Macaca fascicularis: one gene and its partners. The main gene of each other region encodes a partner of the protein of the gene in region 2 in a complex. Links are inferred from orthologs where the notes say so. Each region holds a gene or a part of one and is shown on either strand. Other genes may lie near its edges. The genes, in order: TAF1A, POLR2L, GTF2F2, UBTF, POLR1H, GTF2A1 and TAF1C.

Evidence for each region.
Region 1: POLR2L (region 2) and TAF1A share a complex: the UniProt entries of both Homo sapiens proteins name them as parts of the pol I pre-initiation complex. The link is inferred for Macaca fascicularis from reciprocal best matches to the Homo sapiens genes POLR2L and TAF1A.
Region 3: POLR2L (region 2) and GTF2F2 share a complex: the UniProt entries of both Homo sapiens proteins name them as parts of the TBP-based Pol II pre-initiation complex. The link is inferred for Macaca fascicularis from reciprocal best matches to the Homo sapiens genes POLR2L and GTF2F2.
Region 4: POLR2L (region 2) and UBTF share a complex: the UniProt entries of both Homo sapiens proteins name them as parts of the pol I pre-initiation complex. The link is inferred for Macaca fascicularis from reciprocal best matches to the Homo sapiens genes POLR2L and UBTF.
Region 5: POLR2L (region 2) and POLR1H share a complex: the UniProt entries of both Homo sapiens proteins name them as parts of the pol I pre-initiation complex. The link is inferred for Macaca fascicularis from reciprocal best matches to the Homo sapiens genes POLR2L and POLR1H.
Region 6: POLR2L (region 2) and GTF2A1 share a complex: the UniProt entries of both Homo sapiens proteins name them as parts of the TBP-based Pol II pre-initiation complex. The link is inferred for Macaca fascicularis from reciprocal best matches to the Homo sapiens genes POLR2L and GTF2A1.
Region 7: POLR2L (region 2) and TAF1C share a complex: the UniProt entries of both Homo sapiens proteins name them as parts of the pol I pre-initiation complex. The link is inferred for Macaca fascicularis from reciprocal best matches to the Homo sapiens genes POLR2L and TAF1C.

The regions. Positions count from the first base shown.
Region 1 is NC_088375.1:80,560,663-80,564,162, forward strand, and holds part of TAF1A (TATA box-binding protein-associated factor RNA polymerase I subunit A), read right to left. Parts: intron 1,367-3,500; coding exon 1,236-1,366; intron 376-1,235; coding exon 217-375; intron 1-216. UniProt on the Homo sapiens protein: Component of the transcription factor SL1/TIF-IB complex, which is involved in the assembly of the PIC (pre-initiation complex) during RNA polymerase I-dependent transcription.
Region 2 is NC_088388.1:742,499-746,718, forward strand, and holds POLR2L (DNA-directed RNA polymerases I, II, and III subunit RPABC5), read right to left. Parts: upstream 2,793-4,220; 5' UTR 2,772-2,792; coding exon 2,677-2,771; intron 778-2,676; coding exon 669-777; 3' UTR 501-668; downstream 1-500. UniProt on the Homo sapiens protein: DNA-dependent RNA polymerase catalyzes the transcription of DNA into RNA using the four ribonucleoside triphosphates as substrates.
Region 3 is NC_088391.1:24,397,115-24,400,614, reverse strand, and holds part of GTF2F2 (general transcription factor IIF subunit 2), read right to left. Parts: intron 2,737-3,500; coding exon 2,592-2,736; intron 1-2,591. UniProt on the Homo sapiens protein: TFIIF is a general transcription initiation factor that binds to RNA polymerase II and helps to recruit it to the initiation complex in collaboration with TFIIB.
Region 4 is NC_088390.1:65,276,762-65,280,863, reverse strand, and holds the start of UBTF (nucleolar transcription factor 1), read left to right. Parts: upstream 1-1,302; 5' UTR 1,303-1,729; intron 1,730-2,081; exon of another isoform or gene 2,082-2,196; intron 2,197-3,017; exon of another isoform or gene 3,018-3,075; intron 3,076-3,440; exon of another isoform or gene 3,441-3,771; intron 3,772-3,834; exon of another isoform or gene 3,835-3,975; intron 3,976-4,102. UniProt on the Homo sapiens protein: Recognizes the ribosomal RNA gene promoter and activates transcription mediated by RNA polymerase I (Pol I) through cooperative interactions with the transcription factor SL1/TIF-IB complex.
Region 5 is NC_088378.1:142,602,755-142,606,893, forward strand, and holds the start of POLR1H (DNA-directed RNA polymerase I subunit RPA12), read right to left. Parts: upstream 2,801-4,139; 5' UTR 2,774-2,800; exon of another isoform or gene 2,765-2,773; intron 2,649-2,764; 5' UTR 2,639-2,648; coding exon 2,494-2,638; intron 2,248-2,493; coding exon 2,147-2,247; intron 1,940-2,146; coding exon 1,830-1,939; intron 1-1,829. UniProt on the Homo sapiens protein: Core component of RNA polymerase I (Pol I), a DNA-dependent RNA polymerase which synthesizes ribosomal RNA precursors using the four ribonucleoside triphosphates as substrates. Can mediate Pol I proofreading of the nascent RNA transcript.
Region 6 is NC_088381.1:149,184,862-149,188,361, forward strand, and holds part of GTF2A1 (transcription initiation factor IIA subunit 1), read right to left. Parts: intron 1,915-3,500; coding exon 1,813-1,914; intron 1-1,812. UniProt on the Homo sapiens protein: TFIIA is a component of the transcription machinery of RNA polymerase II and plays an important role in transcriptional activation. TFIIA in a complex with TBP mediates transcriptional activity.
Region 7 is NC_088394.1:80,059,321-80,062,550, reverse strand, and holds part of TAF1C (TATA box-binding protein-associated factor RNA polymerase I subunit C), read left to right. Parts: intron 1-214; coding exon 215-296; intron 297-485; coding exon 486-583; intron 584-659; coding exon 660-749; intron 750-843; coding exon 844-917; intron 918-1,551; coding exon 1,552-1,790; intron 1,791-1,931; coding exon 1,932-2,048; intron 2,049-2,131; coding exon 2,132-2,249; intron 2,250-2,332; coding exon 2,333-2,404; intron 2,405-2,543; coding exon 2,544-2,679; intron 2,680-2,820; coding exon 2,821-2,964; exon of another isoform or gene 2,965-3,057; coding exon of another isoform or gene 3,058-3,143; intron 3,144-3,230. UniProt on the Homo sapiens protein: Component of the transcription factor SL1/TIF-IB complex, which is involved in the assembly of the PIC (pre-initiation complex) during RNA polymerase I-dependent transcription.

The DNA of each region.
Region 1 (3,500 bases), on a different chromosome or scaffold from region 2:
CTGATCCTCTCTCCTCAGTCTCACCCAGGCAGCAGGGGATAGTGTGAATGATACATACATGGAGATGGCAGCTGGAGCGAACTTTCTGTTTATCTCAGTGTACTGTACATTATTGTCATTTTCTGTGGATGCTATAAAAGTTAGAAAGCAATGGCCTAAGAATGTTTTAATGTAGATTCCCAACCCTGTTCAAACATTGAGATAAAAATTCTATACCTTAAGCACACTTATCATTTTTGATCTTGGTGCCTTCTGTCTCTTTAGAAAGTTGTATAAGTAGATATGGGCATTTGGATTTGATGGAAACTTTTCATCATATGCATAATTAGTGAGTACCTCTTGGGCTCCATCTCGATCCCCATAGAATTCCAGCATCTATATAAAATAAATCATAATACCTTAGCTGAATTCTGTAAGACAGCTGTACGAAAGATAATACACAGCATAAGTTTACTGATGGGTATTTTTTAAAAATCACAAAACTGACAGGGTTCCCATTTTTTCCCTATATTTTGTTACCACTAATAAAAAATGCAGCCACCTCAACATAAATTCTCTTCCTATAAAAAATAAGAGTCCTCAAAGCAGGGAACACTAATGCTTGAAAATGTGATGCAACTAACCTCAGTGCCCTACATCACTGCAGCCACAAAAGGAGTGCACAAGAATTGTAGTTGCTTTCATTCTGTTCCCATCCTTACACAGGAATTTCCAGGTTATGATTTTGGAGATTATCTTCTGACAACACAATTATCAATTCGCCACTCAATAACTTTCACAAAGCAAATTATTTATTATTCCTAGTGCCTAGCACCAAGGCCCTCAGTCCTTTTACGACGACTCTGGGATGACAGGACATTCTTACGAACTTCCAAAAAGTCATCATTCTTTATCTCATATATTATGACCCACTTTTTCAGATTTTTGTCCTGTTTCCTTCTATATCCCACCAAATCATAAAATATCTTACTGTGTTTCTTTTAAACTCAACAAGAATAAGATTGAATTAACATTTACAACTATACTGCTATTTATTTTATAGATACTTGGCCATGATGGGTTATACAGTGGTGAAAATAAACAAATTCAGACCAAAAACGAGACATAATATTTTTGTTTCCTTTTAAATAATTTTTTCCATTAGTTTCTTTCTGATCAATAAAGATTAGGCATGGAGTCTTTGTAAAGGCTTTTGACAAAATAAAACCAATACATTTTATGAAAATTCTACTTACTTCTACATAACTCTTCACAAAAGGGTCCCAAACTCCAGGAATTTTAATCAATGCAGAAATATTTGCAGATGTCTTCCAGCTGTGGTTGAACACATCCTGGGCTACTGCGTTGTAAGCATAATCATCCTTATCTGCCCAAAGATAAAAGGTTTTTTAACATTCATTAAATATTGAGGACTTCTATTAAAGTAGTAATTTAAAAAGCTACCCGCGAGAAAAACTCAGCTCCTGATAGCTACAACGGTAAATTTCAACAAATATTTAAAGGAAAATACTAATTCTTCACAAATTCTCCCAAAAAAGGACAGAAGAGAATACTTCCTAACTTATTCTAAGCCAGTATTACCATGATACCAAAACCAAACAAAGACAACACAATAAAACTACAGATCAGTGTCTCTTATGAATATAGCTGCAAAAATATTTAACAAAATATTAGCAAACTGAGTCCAGCAACATATAAAAAGCATTATACATCATGTCCAAGTGGGATCTATACTAGGAATGCAAGGTTGGCTTAACATCTGAAAATCAATTAATGCAAATAATAAAATAGAGATCTATTGATCTAAACCAAATCAAAAGAATACAGGACCAAAACCACAAGATAATCACAATAGATGCAGACAAAGCATCTGAAAAAACACAATAACCCTTCATGACAAAAACACTCAACAATGTAGGAATAGAAGGAACTTCCTCAATCTGATAAAGGGCATCTATGAAAAACTCATAGCTAACACTGAACTGAATGATAAAAGATTGCATGCTTTCCCCCTAAAATCAGGAATAAGACAATAAGTCTTTTCTCACTACTTTTGTTCATTATATTGGTGGTTCTAGCCAGGACAATTAAGTAAGAACATAACAAAAAGATATCCAAGATTGGAAAGGAAGAAGTAAAACTATCTCTATTTGTAGATGACATGATCTTGTACATAGAAAAATCCTAAGAATCCACTAAAAATTTACTGAACTAATAAATGAGTTCACAAAGGTTGCAGAGTACAAGATCGATACACAATAATCAACTGTGTCTATACACTTCCAATGAACAATCAGAAGATAAAATTAGGAAAACAATGCCATTTGCAAAAGCATCAAAAGTAACAAAATGGGTATAAATTTTACAAAAGAGATGCAAAATTTTACTCTGAAAAGTGATACTGTTGAAAAAAATTTTTAAAGACCTAAATGAATGAAACGACACTCTATGTTCAGTTGAAAGACTTACTATTGTCAAATTGATCTACAGATACATGTAATTCTTACCAAAAACTCAGTTGGCCTTTTTGCATAAGTTGAGAGGCTGATTCTATAATTCATATGAAAATGCAAGGAACCAAAGAAGAACAAAAAAGACAGAGTTGGGGAATGTACTCTATGATTACGGCCAGACATGGTGGCTCATGGCTATAATCCCAGCACTTTGGGAGGCCGATGTGGGTGGATCACCTGAGGTCAGGAGTTCGAGACCAGCCTGACCAACATGGTGAAACCCTGTCTCTACTAAAAATACAAAAAAATTAGCTGGGCATGGTGGCGCACGCCTGTAGTCCCATCTACTTGGGAGGCTGAGGCACAAGAATCGCTTGAACCTGGAAGACACAGATTGCAGTGAGCTGAGATCATGCCACTGCACTCCAGCGTGGGCGACATAATAAGACTTGGTCTCAGAAAAAAAAAAAAAAATTTACTAAGAAGCTGTAGTAATCACGACTGTATGATATGGGTACAAGGAGAGACATATGTAGATGAATGGAAGATTCAGAGTCCAGAAATAAACCTCCACATTTATAGGTAACTAATTTTCTTTTGTGTATGTTTAAGACAGGGCCTCACTGTCTCCCAGGCTGGACTGCAGTGGCATGATTTCAGCTCACTGCAGTCTCACGCTACCTCCTGGGCTCAAGTAAACCTCTCACCTCAGTCACCCAAGTAGCCAGGACTACAGGCACATGCCACCACACTCAGCTATTTTTGTATTTTTTGTAGAAATGCAGTTTCACCATGTTGCCCAGGCTGGTTTCAAACTCCTGAGGGCTCATGCAATCTACCTGTCTTGGCCTCCCAAAGTGCTAGGATTACAGGCATGGCCACTACTCCCAGCTGCTAACTAATTTTCAATAAGGGTGCCAAGACAATTCAGTGGGAAAATAATAGACTTTTCAATAAATGCTACAACAACTGGATATCCACATACAAAATAATGAAGTTGGGCCCCTACCCACTTCATAAAAATTAACTCAAAATAAATCAAAGGCC
Region 2 (4,220 bases):
TGGCGCAATCTCGGCTCACTGCAAGCTCCCCCTCCCGGGTTCAAGCAGTTCTCCTGCCTCAGCCTCCCGAGTAGCTGGGACTACAGGCGCCCGGCACCTCGCCTGGCTGTTTTTTTTGTTTTGTATGTTTAGTAGAGACGGGGTTTCACCGTGTTAGCCAGCATGGCCTCAATCTCCTGACCTCGTGATCCACCCGCCTTGGCCTCCCAAAGTGCTGGGATTATAGGGGTGAGCCACCGTGCCTGGCCTAAATCTGGCTCTTCAGATTCCAAGAGAGAGAGTACAGGAGCCTCTGCTCAGTCTGAAGAGCACCCAGAAGGAGGGAACCTCAGCCCTGAGATGGAAGGCTCTCCTGGCAGCACCTCCTGCAGGGGTACCTGTGGAACAGGCTGGCCCCAGGGCTAGGAGAATTCATGGCCCAGTCGGCTTCCCTGGGCTGCCGCGGTGAAAGCTGGGCCTAGTCCTGGCCCCTGACATCCTAGTGAGGGCTGGGACCTTGGTAGTTCTGAAAGACCTTTACTGGATTGTTCCTTCCAGAGTGGGGGATGGGACACACACACGCTGTGGCGAGGCATTGCGCCAGCTCCTGGATGCCTCAGCCTTGTGAACTTGGGGCAGGATGCTCATGGCCCATGGTCAGCATGGCAGGTAGGCGGATTCCAGCCTGGTCACTTCTCCAGGGGTGCATAATTGAGCAGCTTCTCGATCAGGTCCACGTGGGCCAGCAGCATCCGGCGGCAGCAGTAGCGCTTCAGGCCCAGGGCGTCCAGCGCATCCCTGTGTCAAGCGAGGGGAGGAACAGAGAGGCCAGCTGAGTTCTCCACGGTCTGCACAGGCCTGGAGCCCACATCCAGGCCGCCTCTCACTGCCTGCTGGCCTCACTCCCCTGCTACCGGCAAGGCGAACACATTCACCTGGATGAGAAGTAGAGACCTAGCGGTATGATCCTGGCTGGAGTAACCTGGCAATGCCCAGATCCCTGGGTGGAGCGTGAGGAGCCTTCTCTCCCACCTACTCTGGCTGTACATATGTGTGTCTAACATATGTAAGAAATATAAATGAAACGAAAACTAGAGGTAATTGGGGGAGCATAGAAAACCAAGGCCACCGAGGTCCTGATGCGCAGCTCCCCTCATCCCGCACCAGCCACAGCAGGGTAGCTCTCCAGGGGCCTGCCCTTAGCTGGTTCATCCCCCACCCCAGAGCAAGCCCTACTCTGCCACTGTGGCGTCTTTTCTCACCTCTGCTTCCTTCAATCAGGGAGAGACTGCTTCTCCAGGGAGCCACCTCTCCCATTTCCCAAGCCAATTAGAAGCTTTAATTTCCCTGGGACCAAGGTCCAGTCACCATCAATACTTCCAGAAAACTCCCACACTGATGGCTCCAATGTGCAGAGAGAGAAGCTTGGGAAAGGGGAGGCCACATGGGAGGCCCCTGCAGTTCATATCCCTGGGAAAGGGTCTGGACAGGCCACCAGCCACTCACTCTGGCAGCCCACTCGCTTTACTCATTCGTCCAGCAAGCTGCACTGAGAGCCTATGGCAGGCTGGCACACACGAGCCTGGGGTTTCACATGTGACCAGGACTCAGCAGGCAAGGGTCAGACTCCAGCAGGGGCACCAAGACTCAGGCACGGTGGTGACAGCAGCACTGAGGGACAAGCACAGGAGAAGGATGCCTCCCCCACAAAGCCCGATGATGAGGGTGGTCAGCAAGTCTGCCCTGCATTTCTTTTTCTGTGTGTGTGTGTGTGTGTGCGTGACACGGAGTTTCACTCTCTCATCCAGGCTGGAGTGCAGTGGCGTGATCTCGGCTCACTGAAATCTTCACCTGCCTCCCAGCCTCAAGCGATTCTCTCGCCTCAGCCTTCCAAGTAGCTGGGACCACAGGTGTGCACCACCAAGTCCGGGGAATTAAAAAGATAAGAGGGCCAGGGGCGGTGGCTCACACCTGTCATCTCAGCACTCCAGGAGGCCGAGGCAGGTGGATCACCTGAGGTCAGGAGTTCGAGACCAGCCTGGCCAACATGGCGAACTCCTATCTCTACTAAAAATACAAAAATTAGCCGGGCGTGGACACGCCTGTAGTCCCGGCGACTGGGGAGAATTCCTGGAGCCCAGGAAGCAGAGGTTGCACTGAGCCGAGATCGCGCCGCTGCACTCCAGCCTGGGCGACAGAGCGAGACTCCGTCCCCCCCAAAAAAAAAAAAGAAAAAATTTCTGGAGATCAGGGTCTCCCCAGGTTGTCCAGGCTGGTCTCGACCTCCTGGGCTCAAGCAAGCCTCTCGCCTCGGCCTCCCAAACTTCTGGGATTACAGGCGTGAGCCGCCGCGCCCGCCTGTCCTGCAGCGAGGTTTGCAGGACATGGGGTGGGTCTGGGAGCAGAGACGAGAGATTAGGACGGAGACCAAGGGCTTTACTGCGGGTGACAAGACGCCTGCCACCCGCCAGGCCACCTAGAATCCCCAGGACACCACTGGTTTGAAGCCCAACTCCGCTCTCTCCCCAGACTTCAGGGGACAATGTTCTCCCGAAAGCAGATCACAGAGCTGGGCCGGAGTGGCCGGGTATGAAGCTGCTCATGGAGCGCCGGCCCCAGGCAGCGCTGCGCCTCCCGCCCCGGCCCGCACCCCAGGGCGGACTCAGCCCCCAGCCCCGGCCCCAGCCCGCGCCTCACCCCTCAGTGTACTCGGCCTGCAGCAGCCCCAGGTAGGCCTCCCACTTGTTGCCGACGATCTTGCCGCAAGTGAAACACCGTACAGGAATGATCATGGCGGCGGCGCGTCCCAGACTGCCCGGCCCGGTCCGGCCGCACGGGAAGCACTCCCCCCAGGCCCCGCCCCGGGCGCGTCCACTATCGCGGGGGGACCGGCTCCGCTCGTTCTCCGCTGCCCCAGCCGTTCATACACTGGCCCCGGCGCAGCTGGCCGCAATTTCCGCCGCCATGGGGATTCCCCATGCGGCCCGGGGCTCCTGGGCCTGCACGGCCGCGGCAGCAACAGACGACACACCCCCGCCCACCATCTTGGTGCGTCCCGGAGCTACGGCGTCTGAGCAGGGCCGAAAGCCGCGGTGGCGGTTCGCGTTTCTCGTGTCCGCTTGACTGACAGCTGCGCGGAGGGAGCGGACGAAGCGAGCGGGAGGCGGCGGCGCAGGTAGAGCGCCCGGGGGGTCGTGGGGGCGTGCGGCCAGGGTCTCGCGGCCCGAGGTGTCCGACCGGGAGCGGCTGGAGCCGGACGCGAGCGGGGCGCGCGAGTTCGAGCCTAGAGCCGACACGCAGCAACAAGTGGGGTCCGGCGCGGGGGCTTGGGGAGAGGGCGGGCGCGGACCGGGGCGGGTCTTCCTGCTGCCCCTCTTGGCCCCGCCGGGTAGTGGGTCCCTCCGCCTCCGCCTCTACTCGCGGGGTGTCCGGGGCTCTCGGCGCCGAGTTCGGGGGTCCCATTCTGGACGCGGCCCAGCCCCTAGGAGCGCCGTCCTGGCCTCGGCCGCGCAGTTACGGCCCCCGCCGGCTGCTCCCCGCCCCGGCCTCCTGTCCGCGTTCTTTCCGCTCCTTCCCAGGAAGGGGGTCGGGGTGCGCCCTCCCCGGTCCCGGCTCTGCTGGGCTGCTGGCCGTCCCGACGCTGAGACGCGCCTCTGAGCACGGGGAGAGGGGGCCCGGGAGGGAGGTCGGGGAGGGCGTCGTGGAAGAGGTGCTCTTTGAATTGAACCTTGAAGACCGCGGCACAGGGGACCCCTGGGCAGACTCCCGGAGGCTGCACTGGCAGGACCCGCTGAAGGCCGCAGCTCTGCCTTGCCCTGGAGCTCAGGGCCTACGGAGGACGAGGGAGGGGGAGCCCGTGTCTCTCGGATGGAGTGCGGGGGGGCTGGCACCAGCACCCTCCTTGCTGTGCCCCTAGGGTGGGGGTGAGGAAATGGGGGGTCGGTGTGCAGTAGGAGGCAAAGAAGACTCCTTGGAGGTGCCAGGTAGGCTGTGGGGGGGTGGGTGGGCTGCAAAGTGGCACCCATGGGGGGGCTCTGGGCTGGGGCTTCCAGCTGGGGTGGGACCTGTGCTGGGTTCCAGGCATCAGCTGCCGCTTTCTCAGGGCAATGCTGGGTCTGCCTTAGTTGCAGGGGAGGAGGATGAAGGGTTTTCTGGATCCAGAGTGGTGCTGGCCAGATCCACTGCACACTTGGGATTTCTGCTCCCAACCTGGCCAGGGCCCTGGGCAGCTTCCCCAGTGG
Region 3 (3,500 bases), on a different chromosome or scaffold from region 2:
GCAGCTAATATTTGAGCATCCATTATATACTGAGCATTGTTCTAAGTGTTTAAATGTATTCATATTTTTATATGTCAACAAATTATCCTCATTTCATAAATGAGAAAATTAAGGCACAGAAAGGTGCAAAGAGAATCAAGGAACAATGACTTGAAACAGAAATAATGAGGTTAAGAAGTAAAATATTGTTACAGTGTATTATAACTAATAGCAACTTAGAACTGCATTTGTATTATCACAGTTGTGCAAAGCAAGAACATACCGTCCAAGCCCCAGAATAAGGATGACAATCTTAATTCTTTTCCATATCCCTGCCAAGATAATCCTCATAAAACCACGTTCCCTTCAGAGTACACTGTAGCCAGAAATGTGAACATGAAATGTTCAAAAAGAGCACAACACTAAAGTATTTTTAAAATGTAAAATGGAAGACTAATTTTGAGGCTAACAAATGTTAGCTTTCTAAATCACTGTCTTTGTAGAAGCACCAGAAATAAATCATGTTTTCAAAAAATTAGTCACTTAATAAGATGTAAAAAATCTGTAATAGGGTACTTTTTTCTACAAAAAAAAGTTCAAGTTTCCCTACCTCAAACTTTTATCAAGGCGATGTCTCCTTTTTACTATCTTGGTGCCATGCCTCTTCCACTCTAGGACAATCACAAAAGTAGAGAAAACCTCACAGGTTCAATGGATCTTATTAAATCTCATCAATCAAAAGGAATAGAGTTGTTGAAACTAAAACTCCTTAACTCTTTTTTTTTTTTTTTGAGATTGAGTCTCCCTCCATCACCCAGGTTGGAGTACGGTGGTGCAATCTCGGCTCACTTCTACTTCCACCTCCTGGGTTCAAGCGATTCTCCTGCCTCAGCTTCCTGAGTAGCTGGGATTACAGGCACCCGCCACCACGCCTGGCCAATTTTTTATTTAATAGAGACAGGGTTTCACCATGTTGGCCCAGCTGGTCTCGGACTCCCGGCCTTAGGTGATCTGCCCACTTCGGCCTCCTGAAGTGCTGGGATTACAGGCACGAGCCACCGCGCCCCGCCAAAACTAAAACTCTTTAACATACTGAATTCAAATGCGCTTTTAATTTCAGACAAATTTCAGATTTTTTGATAGGTCTATACTATGCCCTGAACTATGCAGCATGCAATAAATATTTGTTGAAAGGTTGAATCTTCTCCAGTATAAAATGGATGTATTGAAGAAACTGTTACTTTTCTGCCTCCCATACTACTAAACTATTAATTATTAGAGCATCAGAAAACTGCAGTGAAACCAATCTTCTACCTTCAACTACATAACTGAAGAATTATAATTTACCATTTTGTTATACTGTACATCCAAGAAAAAAAGAATAATTTTTAGATCATTTTATGTAGCTATTGGTAATCGAAGACACCACAAAAAAATTTATGAGGATGTACCTTTTTTTAACCAATGGTGTTCTTAACATACTATAATTTCTTACAGCTTCCTTTGAAATGTTTGATGAAATACAACAAAATCACAAATGTTTTCTTTTATCAATAAGCTTTTTGAACCAGATAGCAGAAAATTAGCTCCATTAAACTAAGGTGGCCTGTTGCTTTAATAGTATTCTAAACTCAGTGAAAGATAAAAATCCCAAAACATGGAAAATATACTCATGCTGAGTGTGTGCCACAAGAAAGTTCCTTCTGTATTTAATTCACAAATGGAAACATTTGCTTCTGATTTATTGAACTGTTAAAATATCTCATTGCAAACACATACAATCTTAAAACTCTACACAGAAACTTCTTAGAAGCCAATATCAATTAAAAGTTATCTCTGTGCAATAAAAAGGTCCCCTTGGTATACAAAGCATACAAGATGAAAAATTCAGACTAAAATATTCCCTAATATCGAGCTGTATTTTTAAAGTACAACTTATACTTGCTAAATATCAATTTACTAAAACAAGCAACGATGACCTTATCTTGGCAAAATTCAGAATACTGTTTCTTCAACATCTGAGAAGGCAGCTTGATGAACCACATTCTTCCATCTGCTTTGTTCTATATCTTCATATCCCAAATAGAAATTAAACCCTTCTCAAGTAATGGCCAAAATTTCATTAATCACAAGAAAGTACACAGAGCAGAGAAGTAGCATAGTATGAATAACAGAGGTACACAAAATGAGAGGTGGAACAGTCTTGGTAATGACCTTAAAAAAGCAAACAGGAGGCCGGGTGCGGTGGCCCACGCCTGTAATCCCAGCACTTTGGGAGGCAGAGGCAGGCGGATCACCTGAGGTCAGGAGTTTGAGACCAGCCTGACCAACATGGAGAAACCTCGTCTCTACCAAAAATACAAAATTAGTCGGGCATGGTGGTGCATGCCTGCAATCCCAGCTACTCGGGGGGCCGAGGCAGGAGAATCGCTTGAACCTGGGAGGTGGAGGTTGCAGTGAGCTGAGATTGTGCCACTGCACTCCAGCCTGGGCAACGAGAGCGAAACGCCATCGCAAAAAAAAAAAAAAAAAGCAAACAGGAGTGTATGTTGAGACAGAAAATCTATACAACAAGTACAGGAATCACATTAAATAATTCCATTCCCACTTACCTGATGAGCTCTCAGTAAACACTGTTAATGTCTGTCCTCCAACACTTTGCAAGACAAATGGGTGTTCTCTAGGAGCACTGACTGAAGCCGGTTTTCCACCAATATCATGAATATTTGCAAGGTCCTCATTCAAAGTAAATGACACCTAATAGACACATTAACCAGAGATTATAACAGACTTTTGTATTCAAACTACATATAAAAAAATTTTAGTTATAAATCAAATTGTTTTTAAATGTGTTTTCCAGTCATTTCATTAAACACTTTAACTTTATTAAAAACTCCTTAATACTTGCTCACAAAAAGAGAATGTAAACTGGACACACTGGTGCACACCTATAATCCCCGCTACTTGGGAGGCTGAGGTAAGAAGATTCCTTGGGCCAGGAGTTCCAGGCTGTAGTTCACTATGAAAAGCCATTGCACTCCAACCTTGGCAACACAGCAAAACCCTGTCTCTTAAAAAAATCAAAAGAGAGAAAGACAATCTATTCCCGTTTGTCAGAATAATGGGGCTAATAAAAAAATAACAAAATCACATCCTTTGCAGCAATGATGCAGCTGGAAGCCATTATCCTATGTGAATTAGTGCAGAAACAGAAAGCCAAATACCACATGTTCTCACTTACAAGTGGGAGCTAAACATTGGGTAGACATGGACCTAAAGATGGGAACAATAGACATTAGGGACTCCAAAAAGAGAGAAGAGACCAAGAGTTAAAAAACTACCTATTGGTTACCATGTTCACTATCTGGGTGACAGGATAAATATCAGCCCAAATCTCAGCATCATGCAATATACCTATGTAACAAACCTACACATGTACCCCCGAAATAAAATAAAAATTACTACAACTAGTAAGAAAATAAAAAACAAAAACAAAAAGAACAATGGGGCTAATCTACCAT
Region 4 (4,102 bases), on a different chromosome or scaffold from region 2:
AGGGGCCTAGAAGCTGAAATTAATCTACGAGTGGTAAATCCGCCTCTCCTATATGCCAGTGCCCCCAAAAACAAACAAACAAACAAACAAAAACAGGACACACCAGATCTTGACAGGGCTTCCTCCCTGTTTGTGAAACGTGACAGAAGTGGGATCTGGAAGTCCTGGGAAAACAATCTCATTTCTCCCAGGAGACAAGAGGAATTACAGCAGCAAAGAGGCAGGCCGAGTGGAGGAGAAGGCTGCATGCCAGGGGAGAGTCGAAAGGGGCTGGGTGATCCAGCTGGCCGAGATGCGGGAAGTAGAGCCTCGGTGTGGGAGACTGGCAGCCTGAGAGCCAGGAGCAATGGCGCTGCCCCAGAAGCGGTGGCTGGAGGCTGGGCCTGCTGGAAGCAGGCTTCCTTCAGATGGTCTTCTGGCTCCCTGCGTCCTGTCCTGATAACCTTTCCTCTGAAAAGGGGAGGCAAAGACAGACAACCACAGCCATGGTAGTGGGAGGGTGGGTGGTGGACCCCGTCCAGGCCTTTCATCCCCGGCCTGCAGTTTAGTGAACCGGGAGACGTCTCGTCGGAGGCTGCTCCGCTGCCGCCCGGAGCAGCGAGAACCGGGTGCTGGGCTCCCCTCGCGGCTGCCCGCCGCCGCCGGGGGGCAGCGCCTGCGGCCTGCTTTCCCAGGGCCGGCCGAGGCTTTTTGACAAGCTGATTGCGTGGCGGGGATTGGCTGGTCCGGGCGTGACGCCGGTAACAACAAAGGTGGAGTTGGAAGAAATTAGATTAAAGGAGAGAAAAAAAATTAAAGGGGGAGCTGGCAAAAGACAGGAGGTATAGACCGAGGGGGAGATGCGCCAAGTGGTGTCTCCCGGTTCCGACTCCCCCCGCCGCCTCGACCCCAGAAGATCCCTCGCGCAAACCCACTGGGATTTTGCTCTTTCCCCTACCCCCGCCCAGTGACCGACGCCGGGGTAGGAAGGATAGCCGCTTCTTCTTGAAAAATCCCCGCAACTCCCACCCTGACACCCCTCACTACGACCCAGGGGGAGAACTTTTTGCTCGGACTCCTCGGATCCTAAACCCAGCGAAGAGGGGGACATTGATAAGCTCGTCCTTTTAAAACCCGGAAGGCCCTCGCGGAGCATGGAGATCGGATAAGGCGGGGTGCTCCCTCGGTTTTCCGATGTGTTGCAAATCTAAGAGCTTCTTTCTCGCTTTTTTTTTTTTTCCCCTGTAACTACCCCCCCTCCCTTTTGCTTCAGGGTTGCAAAAGCAAAGAGCAATAAAAAAAAAAAAAACCGCGCACACACTCAGACACACACCAGTGGCGACAGGGGAGAGTTGGAAAGACGCAGGAGAGAAGCAGGAGGCAGGAGGCAGCGGGGATGGAGCAATGGGAGCGGGAAGCAGGCAGGTTTCCTTGCAAATCCCCCTCCGGCCTCACGCCGCCTCGCCAGCCCCGGCAGGGGAGCGAGGACCCCGGCGAACAGATGGAGGAGTGGAGCTCGCTCTAGGCAGCTGGGCTTGGCCGGAGAATGGAGGAGCCACCAAGCGACCGGCTGATTGGAAGAGAAACGCAGAGCGATGGAGGCGGGGGTAGGAGGACGATTTCTCTGCGGGGACTGGCGGCGGCGTACACGCCCGGGTCGGGCGCTGCAGAGCTTGGCTGGCTTTCAACCCGCGCTCGCCGGCTCCAGCCCCGCGCGCCCCCACCCCTAGCCCTCCCGGCGGCTCCGCAGGTGAGTGCGAGCTGCGGGCAGAAAGATCCAAAAGTCTCAACACGCCCGCCCTGCAAAAAAGGAAAAAAGAAAAAAAAGGAAGAAAACCATTTTACTTAAAAAAAAATTTTTTTTTTGTGCAACCCCTAAAGCAGTGGGAGGGAAGGGGTGAGGCTGAGCCGCCCGGAGGAGGCGGAGGGGCCAGGCGAGGCCGGGGTGGCCCGGGAGGCGGCGGCGCCGAGGCGGCTCTGACGGGCAAGCGCTCGGAGCGGCGCTGCGCTGCGCCGAGGCGGGCGGGCGGGCGGGCGGAGCGGGGCGGGCGGAGCGCGGCGCGTGGGGCTCGCCATTAGCCGTCGCTCCGCTTCGCCATCTCGGGCTTTGTCTGGCGACTCGCTGCCCCGGCGTCGGCTGCAGCGGAGCTGCGGCTCGGCTGTTCCGCCCGCCGTGCTCCCAGGTGCCCCCGGCCTGCGCTCCCATCCACACGCTCGGTAAGTGAGCCCGGGCGCCGCGGATTTCGGGGGAGAGGGGTTGCTACGAGTGGCGGCGGCACCGATCTCCATGCGCCCGGGCAGGCCTGGGAGCCATGCCGGGCTGGATTGAACCGGCTCCCACAGCGGCCCCTCCGCCGGAGCCCGTCGTTCCCTCGCCGTTTCCGGGGTGTAAAGAGCAACGGGGATTTTTTTTTAATGCAGAGATTTTCGGTTTTGGGTTTTTTTAAAGTTTCCTATGTACCGTTCGGCAATGAGAGGATCGCGAGGTAGGCGCCGAAGCTGGACGCCGCGATCGGCGTGCGTGCGCCCCAAACCAGTGGCCACGCTCCGGGGGATGAGGGTGGGCGCGGACCGCTCGCTCCGGGAGGCGGGAGAGAGCTGGCCTGGAAGCCCCAGTCTGAGCTGGGAGGACTTGGGGGAGAGCTCCGGAGCAGGGCTGTGGGCGCCCCCCAAGCCTTCCTGGCCGCCGGGGGCCCCTCCGGGCACCCTCTCCGCGGCCGCGCCTCGGCCCTCCCTCCCGCGCCGGCAAAGCCTGCTAGTTCCCCCGCGGGTCTGGCGAGGTCGCTCTCGGCGCCCGCCCGCCCGCCCGCCCCGGCTCCGAGCCCCGCCGCCATCCGGGCGGCTGCGTGTCTCCCTGCCCCGGCCCCCCCCTTCCCCGGCGGCGGCGGCGGCGGCGGCAGCAGCAGCAGCAGCAGCCGCCGCCGCCACCAGCACCACCACCACCCCCCTCCCCTCCTTCCTTCCCTCCGCCTCGGCCGCCCGGGTCCCCCCAGCTCCCGCCCCTCCTCCCAGCTGCCCCCCGCGGAGCCCGCCCGGGCAGGCTGTGGGAGGGAGCGGAGCCGGCGAGGCGGGCGGGCTGGCGCTCGCTCCCCGGGGGTCGGTGTGCGCTCTACGGGGAAGGACGCGCTCGCTGCCCCGCTTCTCCCGCCCCCCCTCCCGCTCCTCCTCCTCCCTTCTCCCTCCTCCTCCCCGCTCCGGCGGCTGAGGCTGCGGCGGCGGCGGGGGGTGTGCGAGCTGAGGCCGGGGCCGGCGGCGGGCGGGCTGCCTGCAGGCGGAGGGCGCTGTGCTTTGTGCTTTTCGCCGCGAGGAGCAGCAGGCAGCAGCCACAGCCGCCGCCGCCGCCGCCACAGCAGCAGCAGCCGCCGCCCCAGCGCCGCCGCCTCGCCCGGAGGAGGAGCCGCTGCCGCCGCGGGAGGGAGCTGCGGCTGTGCCCGGCCGAGCGGGGGAGGGCGCCGCCACTCAGAGCCGGGGAGGGAGCCGCCGGAGCGGGAAGCCCGGAGGCCGCGCTGCGCCGGGTAACCGAGGCGGCTGAGGACGCGCGCTGGGTTCGGGGCCGGACAGCAGGGAGCGAACCGCGGGTTGCGGTGGGCGCCCAGCAGGGACCCGGAGCGACCACCGAGCAGGGGACCGGGCGCGAGCAGACCAGGGCACTTGGGAGGACGCCGAGAGCCGGGGGAGGGGAAGGCAGGAAGCGAGGCCTGAGCCGAGCCACGGCCGCTGGCGGAGGAGCCCGCGCTTCTCGGATCCGGCAGGCGCAGTTCTCCCCGGCCGCCGGAGGGGGCGGCGGGGCCGGTGAGCGCTGCGCCCCCGCCTCCCGGCCGCCGTCCTCCCGCCCTCTCCTTGGCTCGGCTCCCCGGAGGCCGGGGCGGGGGCGCCGGCGGGGCTGGGCCGCAGGCTCGGGGGAGGAGGCGGCGGTTCCCGCCGCGGTCGCGCCTCTGTGCCGGGCTCCTCCGTGCGCGTCGGGGTGGCTGGGTGGTGGCGGCGCCTCTGGCCGGGGTGGGTGGCTCGGGGGCGGGGGGCAGGCTAGGCCGCTTCTCTCCGGCTGCTCGCCCGCCTGTGCGGGCGGGGACGGCGAAGGGAGCCCGGGAGGGGGGAGCGGCGGGAATCCGGATCCGGTCCCCGG
Region 5 (4,139 bases), on a different chromosome or scaffold from region 2:
GATTTGCAGCTCAAATTCATACTATCTGTGTGCTCCAAAAAACATGAAGCCAAGAATTTATTTAAAGTAATTCCAGCTTGATAGTGCTTCAAGGCACCTAGAAAAGAAACACAAATGCTGAGAATACAGCACTTACCCAAGGCCTCAAAGAATTCCTACAGTTCAAGTTCTAAAAAACTCAAATTTATTGTCAAAAATTACAAAACAAAGAAAAAAGCACTATGAGAGAGACAGCAGAAACAGACAGCAGCATCAGACACACAAAATCCATGGATATCAGAATTATGAGACATAGAATATAATAACTATATTTAATATTTTATATATTTAAAGACTAGTAAAAGGAACAATTTAAAATATGATTAAGGAACTGAGAATTATTTAAAAATTGAGATTTGAAAAGTAATTAAATAGAACTCAAAATAATAACAATAGTAAAAAATAATAATATTTGAAATAAACTGAAGACAGAACTAGTGACATGGAAGAGGAACCTGAAGAAATTACTCAGAAGGTGGCATAAAGAGAAAAGCGATTGAAAATATGAAAAGAGGGCGAGAGAAATGGAGGACAGAAGAGAGAAATCTCATTCTAGTAACTAATTAGAGGTCCAGAATGTGAGGACTGAGAACATGGGGGAAAGAGAATATTAAAAGAGATGATGGCTGATAATTTTCCAAGGTTGATGAAAAAAAAATCCACTCTAGGCTGGGCGTAGTGGCTCACGCCTGTAATCCCAGCACTTGGGGAGGCCGAGGCGGGTGGATCACGAGGTCAGGAGATCGAGATCATCCTGGCTAACACAGTGAAATCTCGTCTCTACTAAAAAACACAAAAAATTAGCCGGGCGTGGTGGGGGGCACCTGTAGTCCCAGCTATTCAGGAGGCTGAGGCAGGAGAATGGCGTGAACCCGGGAGGCGGAGCTTGCAGTGAGCCGAGAACACACCACTGGACTCCAGCCTGGGAGACAGAGCGAGACTCCGTCTCAAAAAAACAAAACAAAACAAAAAACAACAATGCACTCTCAGTTTCAGAAAGTCCAACAAATCCCAAACAGAATAAAAGAAAATCACATTTTGATATACTATAGTGACTGCAGAACACCAAAGACAAAGATGAGGTCTTAAAAGCATTCAGAAAGCCCATGTTCTCTAAATCATGTGTGACTAATTCTCTCCAAAGTAAAGCTACCTTGACTGCGGTTGAAGACTGCAGTATAAGACGCTGACCACTAAACAATACTTGCTTCTTATGGTTTTTTTTCTTCATTTCCTTTTAAATATCCTAAAAGAAGGTCAGGCAGGGTGGCTCATGCCTGTAATCCCCAGCACTTTGGGATGCTGAGGTGGGTTGATTGAGCTCAGGAGTTCAAGACCAGCCTGGGAAACAGAGAGAAACCCTATCTCTACTAAAAATACAAAAAACAAAACAAAACAAAAAGCCAGGTGTGGTGGCACGTGCCTGTGGTCCCAAAGCTATTTTGGAGGCTGAGGTGGGAGGATTACCTGAGCCCAGGAGGCGGAGGTTGCAGTGAGCCAAGATTGCCTCACTGCACTCCAGGCTAGGTGACAGAGCAACACCCTGTCCATTTAAAAAAAAAAAAAAAAAACAAAACAAAAACCTAAAAGGTTTATTTCACTGGTTACAAAAAGGGTTAAAAAAGTGTAATTTAAAAAAATAAAAACTACAAATCTCCCTCTTACCAGAACTGCACAGAAATAAGGGATGGGACGAAAGGACACAGCCGTTTAGTACAAAAAAATAAATCACTGGATTTGTTTATTAGTTAGCAAACAGACTGAGCAAAGGGAGGGGAAAGGATACCCACTTGCAGTTGGTACAGGTGTAGAAGACAGTTTGCCCTTCATCGGCTGAACGCATCTGTCTGGTGTGGTATGCCATTCCTTCATGACCACATCGAGGGCAGCGCCTGTCAACCTGGGAAGAAACTGGTGGGTTATGGAGGCCTGGTCATATCATACCCTTACTTCCCACAGGAACCAGGCGATCACGCCTCTCAAACATCGATGCTTTACATCTTTTCCCACTTGGAATTGGGCACAAAACTCTCCAGATCTCTGCAATCACTCCTCCATTTCTTTCCTACCCACCTTATGGAGCCAGTTCTTGATCTCATTAACTTACCACAGGTCCCTGGCACTCAGGCCCTTCCTCCACCGACATAGGCATGGCTGTCCCCAGTTGGTGGAACACAACTGAAGTCTTCACAACCTTCCCCTCAAAGTCTGCACAGGCAAGTAAGACTGGTTATGGAGACAACCTGAGGGAGCTGACACCGGAAACTTCCCCTCTCCCCTGGCTGGTTAGGCCAGGAGGCCCTATATCCTTTCCCTCAGTTTTCATCGCTGGACCAAATGTACAACTGCCTGATGTCCTGCTCTAGGATCCCCTTCTGAACCCAACCTATCTTGAGTTCCCCAAGCTTCCGATCCTGGGCCCTCCGCCAGGACCCCTGTGTACAAGCCTCTCACCCCGAACGTTGATGTTGAAGCCACAGCGAGTACAGGTGACCGTATCCTGAGCCCCGGGCAGAGGCAGGACCGAGCCGCAATCTGAACAGAAATCCAAGTCCGACTGAAAGCTGGAGCAAGTACCGGCGAGGTCCATGACAGACATGCAGTCGGGTCTGAGGAGGGAGTTAGAAGTTTATTAACAAAAGAGAGAAGAGTTCCTGCCCCAGAGTTGGTAACTATTCCGTCCCAGGACGTAGGAGTATATAACCCGAGTCCTCCTCCCACGCACGCCTCCTGCCTCTGCGACCAAGGAGCCGAAACGCCCGGAACTCCCAGACAGCGTCGGGTACTAAAAGGACTTGGAACCCTTTCCTGGGGCCGGCGAGAGGAGCTGGCCAACTCCGTGGGCTAGAGCGCCAGCTCTGCGCCCGCGGCGGGGCAGCGAGCTAGAGCCGGCTAGAGCGTCACGCTTTCACGCTGACGATTGGCTGTGACGTCATAATTAATTGCGAACCGTGTCTCGGAAGCCTTAGAGATGGAGAGTCACCTCTTCTAAGGGAGGTTGGGGCTCAACTTTCAGGCTGGTACTGAGACGTTGAGCACAAAATTGGTAACCAATGCTGCGCTTCCAGCAAATTTTCCCACCAGCACCGAATCCTGGGATATTTATTCTCTGTTTCACATCCTACGGGAACCCAATCGCGGGGGAATATCCTCCTGAAAACCGTACTTTGCTGAATAATGACTTCTTTGGATTAGAGAACTACAACTCCCCTGGGTCCTGAGCTGGTATTTCCCTTTTGCGGCTGCACAGTAGTTAAAAACAAAGCTAAGTGTTCTGGCATGTATAGTTCTAGCGTTCCTTGGGTCCCGCTGGCGAGCGTGGGCTTTCTGCAGAGCGCAGCCGGCCTGTGCTTTGCGGACGGTTCACCGCGCTTGGAAAGGGGTGAGTCGGCTTCTTGAGGGACAGCAAGTGGTGAGGGTGAAGGCCAGAGGAATCCTTAGTCCCACGGGACGAAAGGAAGCAGGGATGAAGTGGGACACTTGAGAAGGGGCTCAGGACTTTGGAGGTGGTAGAACAGAAGAGCTTGGGGCTTCCCCTCCTTCGACTCCTGCCAGATAAGTGAGGCTAGCAGTAGTCAAGAAGCTCATTAAGTAGGATTTCATAAGACTTAGGTCGAGTTTGGCTTTTAGTTGTGCCTGCCGCTTATCGAACTCTTAATTCATTATTCGTCATCCATTAAGTGGACAGCTGACATTTCCCTGATCTTTTATAAAACATGGGAATAAGTTTCTTTCGGAAATCTTGCTATTTTCGTTACTCTGTAACTTATATTCGAAGTAGAAACTTTCCCTGAAGGGGCAGCTTGTCGTTGTTTACTAGTTTCATGCTAGTCCTCCCACCACCACCCACTCTGATAGCTGTGCTAAGTTCCTTCATATGAAAGTTCTGGAGCCATCACTATTTTGTCCTGTGAAGGACACAAGCTGTAGTCTTTTCGCTGGGAGAGGCTCCCATCTGCCTTTCTCTGTGATAATGGAGAGAACACCATAGTTAAAGGGTTAAAACTCAGCAAACTGCTGAAGAGTGACAAGCCCTATCACTTAACTGTGAAATTGCTTGTTATTCTGTCTGACAAAGGGAGATGTGTTGTTGAGCTGAT
Region 6 (3,500 bases), on a different chromosome or scaffold from region 2:
TAATACTCAACTTCTAAACCAGCAGTTCTAAAACTCTTTCACCTCAGGATGCTTTATCACTTTAAAAAATTACTGAGACCCTCAAAGAGCTTCTCTGTATGTGAATTACACCCCCCTATATTTATAGTAACAGAAATTGTAACAAATGTTTAATGCTTACTAATTTGTTTAGAAATAATGGATCCATTATATGTTAACATAAATAACAGTTTTCTGAAAATAGTCATATTTTAGTAAATAAAATTGAGTGAGAATGACAAATGACTTAAAGGAAAATAGCTAGATTTTCATATCTGCCTGTGTTTTCGCTTTGTTTTGGTTGAGGTATACAAAGAAAATCTGCCTTCCTACAGTTAAGTAGTTAGGAAAAGAAAAGGTACTTTTAAGTGATAGTTTCTTACAAGTTAGTTACAATGCAGAATATGAAACCATATAACTATGAACTTTTCATACTGTTAAAGTTCATTAATTTATCTTGCATTTTGAATGAATTTTCCAACATTATGCATTGGACATTCAGAAAATACAAGTTCAATGAATTATATGGATCTTTCGAATGTAAACACACTTCATTACAGAATATCAAACAATCAAATTTCTTAGTATCAACACTGAGTCCACATCTTTTTAATATTCAGAAATGAGAAGTATGCATACAGCATTTCTGCTGCTTATTTACAGTTATCTCAAGGAAAAGCATCTGTGCGCTTGAGTTATGAATTTAACTGGCCACTTTTCTCACAGAATACAACTTTTACTTGAAAGAATGAAGGCAAACTATGATTTTCCAGACTTGAGCATTTAGTCAACCTTGTGGACCCCTGGAAAGAACCCTTGGGGAGAACCCAGGACTCCATGAACTATATACCTTGAGAACCACTATTCTAACCAACAGGGCAAAAATAGTCCACAATTTCATGAGTCATTACACTGCAAGGAAAACACAACTGCCAATAAAAAAACTAAATATTTCTGCTTAAATCCAAGATACAGAAAACCAGCTCTTAATGTAAAATATATTTAAAACATTTGGCCTACATAAAGGGTCTACTTCAAGAACCTAAAATTCTTTTATCAAGCACTTACTCCCTACAACTTAAAACACACTTAGAATACAGGCACATTAAGACCATTAAAAAAAGGCAAGATTAAAGCTGGGCACTGTGTCTCACGTCCATAATCCTAGCACTTTGGGAGGCCGAGGCGGGAGGATCACTTGCAGCCAGGAGTTCGAAAGCAGCCTTGACAACATGGTGAAAACCATCCCTACCAAAAATACAAAAATTAGCCAGGCATGCTGGCATGTGCCTGTAGTCCCAGAGGTGGGAGGATGGTTTGAGCCTGGGAGGCGGAGGTTGCAGTAAGTCCAGATTGTGCCACTGCACTCCAGCTGGGCGACAGAGCCCAACCCTGTCTCAAAAAAAAAAAAAAAAAAAAAGAAAAAAGAAAGAAAACTCTTCCAGGCATGTCAAGTAATTAGACCCTAAAATGTAGAATGTTAACTATCCAATAATAACTGCTAATGCTACTATCAGGCATTGTGCTAAGATTTTATATGGTTATCCCATTTAATCCTCAAAACAAACCTATAAGGTAAATACTACCAATTTCCATCTTACATGTAAAGAAACTGAAATATAAATGTAGCCTGCCTAAGGTCAGAGGAAGAATGCATGGTACAGTTGGGATTTAAAACCAGCACACTTCACTAAACTATACGTTCACCCTACAGAAAAATTACAGATTCATCTCTGACTAAAGAAAATGATTTGGGGTGAAAAGGTAGGAATATTTTTAAGAAGACAAACGTACGGTTTTCAGTTCCATCAGTACTTGTTCATCCACGCCATCGTCCAGAAAGATGTCTCTCACGTCATTAATGACATCTTCAATCACAGATCGGTATAATTTAGGCTTTAAAGGAAAAATAACAGACTTGATAAAGACAGTTTTTCACAGGTTACAATGTATAATTCAAAACCAATATAATAGTCATTTTGCCAACTAACTACATATGAATTTAAAGATACGACCACCATCATTTGCCATAAACTGGATTTGATGACTGCATACTTTAATAAAAATTTTAAGATTAATGCAATTCATAAACAGAAGGTCCCTATGCCTACAAGGTCCATACAATTTTCAATTATAATTTCCTATGTTATAGTCAAAATACCTAATGTAATGTTCAATAACAGCTTCAGGGGTTGCTTACGTCTGGCTTCTACTATTCCATGCTTGGTTTGAACTCTGTTGTATGTTTTACTACCTCACCACTAAATCTTAAGACTTTGGAGAATCTTACGTCCGGGAGTCATCTGCCTGGTAATAATCTACAATCTAATGAACATTCAGGTTTAAAAATCACCTAACTTCTGTTGTGTGACCCAGTCTGTACTTTCAAGCTACACCATTAAACTACTCACACACCCACAATGACAGGTCTCAAGGTCCCAAAGAAACAAGGTACACTGATTTCCTTCCCAGAATTTCTCCTCTACTACTGCCCAGATAATGCTATGAAACATTATAATGAACATAAACCCTCTAAACGTTTATTATTATTATTATAATTAGCACTGTTGGTATTACTTGGAGGAGGAGCGGGAAGTAAAGGAGCTGGCTTCTAGAAGGTTGAATGGTAAAATGGGCAAAATGAGAATAGATGTGAAAGAACTTTCAAAAAATAAAAATTATTTAAAAACTACAAGGTGGGAGATAGAACAATTAGCTCAATCCATATCCTATTTTTAACCTGTAAGACAAAAGGAAGTCATGTCAGATGACAAAACTAGAGCTGCCTTGACAAAACTAGAGTTGCCAGGTTATAAATCCTACCCATTATCAGAGAGTTATGGTTAACAAGCTTTTTAGATGTCTTCTCATTACTTGTGTTTCACACCTTGCTTAAAGTTAAATGGCTATCAAAAAAAACTAAGTGTTTGTTCTCATGAGCAAACTTCAAACAGAAATATGTGTTTCACTACCATCTCTTATCAGCAACACTGTGACACAGGGGAACTGCTAAGAAAATGTGTCCTTGTCTTGTGAAAACTACAAATAATGAGGCCAGATGCAATGACCTGTAATCCCAGCATTTTGGGAGGATCGCTTGAGCTCAGGAGTTCAAGACCAGTCTGGGTTACATAGTGAAATTCAGGCTATACAAAAAATTAGCCAGGAATAGTGGCACGTGCCCGTAGTCCCCGCTACTTGGGAGGCTGAGGTGGGAGGATGGCTTGAGCCCAGAAGGGAAAGGATGCAGTGAGCCAAGATTGTAGCACTGCCCTCCAGCCTGGGTGACAGGCCCAGACCCTGTCTCAGAAAACAAACAAAATACAAATGAGTTTGTCAGTACAATTTACCTCAACCATTAAAAACTATTTAGTCCTTCTCATTACAAGAAAACCAATTCAAATATCCGGGTTCTTGCTTTACTGTTTCACTCACTAACCTGCTTTATTTTGCCAAATCCTCCTCTTGAAGTTTGTTCATCT
Region 7 (3,230 bases), on a different chromosome or scaffold from region 2:
ACTCTGGGGTCAGGCTGCCTGGTTTACATCCCAGCTATTCTCTTTACCAGCTCTGTCATCTGGGGCAGGTGGTAGTGTGACAATGCCAGTCATCCCAACTTCGCAGGATTGTTGTGAGGATTGGATGAGTTGATAAAAGATGAATGCCTGCGCAGAGCCTGGCCCGGGGAAGGCACTCATCATGATACTGTCGTTGTGATTGACTTCCCTTCAGAACGGGGCACTGCATGTGACCAAGGACCTGCTGTGGGAGCCGGCGACCCCTGGGCCTCTCCCCATGCTGCCTTCCCTCATCGGTGAGAGTCTCATTCCTCCGGGCTCATTCCACACTGCTCCACCTATTCTTCCCGCAGCTCCCACTCCTGAGACCTTCCTCTCCCTGCTAAGCCTGTGCTCGCTCAGAGCCCTTGGATGCCTCCAGCCGCCCAAGGCATCTGGCTGCACTCCTGTGCCCTCCCCAGCCCTTTCCGTAACCTCCTCCTCAGATCCCTGGGACCCTGGCCTGACTGCCCGGGACCTGCTTTTCCGCGGAGGGTACCGGTATCGGAGGCGACCCCGAGTCGTGCTGGATGTTACTGAGCAGGTGAGTGGGCCCACGGGGGACAGTGCTGCGTAGCCTGGAGACTATGCTTAGTGACCTGGCCTCCTCCTCTCCCCAGATCAGCCGGTTCCTCTGGGATCATGGAGACGTAGCCTTTGCACCCCTGGGGAAGCTGATGCTGGAGAATTTCAAGCTGGAGGGAGCAGGGGTGAGTGGCCCATGACACCAGGGGTAGGGACTCCCTGCTGTCCTTCAGGGGTGAACTTGAGGGTGTGTGAGCTTGACGAGGCCTTTCCATGCAGAGCCGCACTAAGAAGACGACAGTGGTCAGTGTGAAGAAACTGCTCCAGGACCTCGGTGGACACCAGCCCTGGGGGCAAGTGGCTAATGAGAAAGGAGGAGATGGATAGACGTAGCTGGTGGTGGGGATATAGGAGGTGCTAGGACGCACATCCAGGTTTCTGTCATACCCACTTCCCACCTGCTCCATGCAGTCTGAGCTGTACTTTCTTATACCAGACTTCCAACTCCAAATCATCTCAGGGGAAAGCAGATTTAAATTTGTGGGCTTCAGGCATGGCTGCATCCAGGTGTTCAAATAATATTCGTAGAGCTGTGTCTCTCTTTACTCTGTCGTCCACTTGCCTCTTCCTGCACAGTTCCTAGACAGGCTGTCTGTAGGTAGCAGCAAGATGGCTTATGATCTAAGGAAAGAGCCAGTGTCCTTCCTGAGGCACCAGAAGTCCCAGAAAGGAGTTTGGTTGGCTTGGCTTGGGTCTCACACCCGTCTGTGAACCAGTCGCTGTGGCAAGGGCAATGGAATATTGTTGATGGCCAGGTCTGGGTCCCATGATTGCTTCCAGGGCATGGGAACAGGATGGGGTGGTTTCCCAAAGGAAGAAATTCTAGGTAAATAAGAAATGTGTCCACTGCACTTGGCCTCCTTGGGATGGGACCTGTCCTCCCCTGAGTGCCACTGAGTGATCCTCCTGCTGTTCTCTGGTCCCCAGGTGTCCCTGGGCTTACCTCAGCAACCGACAGCGCCGCTTCTCTATCCTTGGGGGCCCCATCCTGGGCACATCGGTGGCGAGCCACTTGGCAGAGCTGCTGCACGAGGAGCTGGTGCTGCGGTGGGAGCAGCTGCTTCTGGATGAGGCCTGCACTGGGGGTGCGCTGGCCTGGGTGCCTGGAAGGACACCCCAGTTCGGGCAGCTGGTCTACCCTGCTGGAGGCGCCCTGGACAGGCTGCGTATCCTTTCTTGTGAGACAGGCGATCCCAGCGGGCTCCCGTCTGGTGGAGGAGGTGCTCTTGGCATGGTCCAGGGAAGGGCAGGAATGTGGGGCTTGCAGTGGCCACAGCTCGTGCACTGATCCTTAGTGAGAGGCCCAGATTTTCAAGAGGTTGTTCTGAGCCCAGGTGACAGTCCCCAATTCCTTGGGAACCCTGGACGCATCCAGCTCCAGGGACCTGTCCGGCAGGTGGTGACATGCACTGTCCAGGGAGAAAGTAAGGCCCTTACACATGTTCCTCCCTCACTGGCTGACCTGCTGCCTGACCCCTGACCCCTGACCCTTTCCATCCCTCCTCAGCTCTGCTGGCCGTCCGCTCTGACTACCATTGTGCCGTGTGGAAGTTCGGTAAACAGTGGCAGCCAACCCTTCTGCAGGCAATGCAGGTGGAGAAGGGGGCCACAGGGATCAGCCTCAGGTGAGGGGGAGTCAGTCTGGTCAGTGAGGAGGGGCTGGGGGCAGGGGCGAGCAGCCTGATGTGAATGCGTTCCTGCCCTGTAGCCCTCACCTGCCCGGGGAGCTGGCCATCTGCAGCCGCTCAGGAGCCGTCTGCCTGTGGAGCCCTGAGGATGGGTATTGCCACTTCCCATGAAACCCCCCACCCTAACACACTGAACTCTGGCCCGTCACTCCCTGTTCAGCATGTCGCGACCCTTGATTCCCTTCCACATCAGCCTGTCCCCCCTACCCATGGCTTGCCCATCTCCCCAAGGCTGCAACAAGTCTACAAGGACCCCGAGACCCTTGTGTTCCGGGACTCCTCTTCCTGGCGTTGGGCAGACTTCACCGCCCACCCTCGGGTGCTGACTGTGGGTGACCGCACTGGAGTGAAGATGGTTGACACTCAGGTATGGGGTGGCGGCAGGAGATCTGCCCTGACTGCGGGAGCAGCCGCAGAGCAGTGAGTCCCAGGCTGGCTGCGGCCTGGGCGAGGATGGCGTCATGGGCCTGGGACTGTGGGGAGGGCTGACCCTGTGTTTCTCTTCCAGGGCCCGCCGGGCTGTGGTCTGTTGCTTTTTCGTGTGGGCGCAGAGGCTTCGTGCCAGAAAGGGGAGCGTGTCCTGCTCACCCAGTACCTGGGGCACTCCAGCTCTGAATGCCTGCCCCCTACTCTCCATCTCGTCTGTACCCAGGTGAGTGGTACACACCACCGCCCCGCCCCACCTCTGCTCTGTCTCAGATGGGCACTAGAGGCTGCTGCTTACCAGTGGCTCTGCTGGGCCCAGATAACCACCCAGCAAACCAGACTCAACCCTGGATGAATCTGTGGCCCCGGCACGCAGTGGATCCCACAGCCGGTGCTAACAGGCAGGTGGGGAAGCTCTCCCAGGGCCTCCCCTTGGTAAGGGCTTCAAGGTACAGCCAGGGGTGGAGCGGTGGGGGAGGAGCAGCCTCGGGG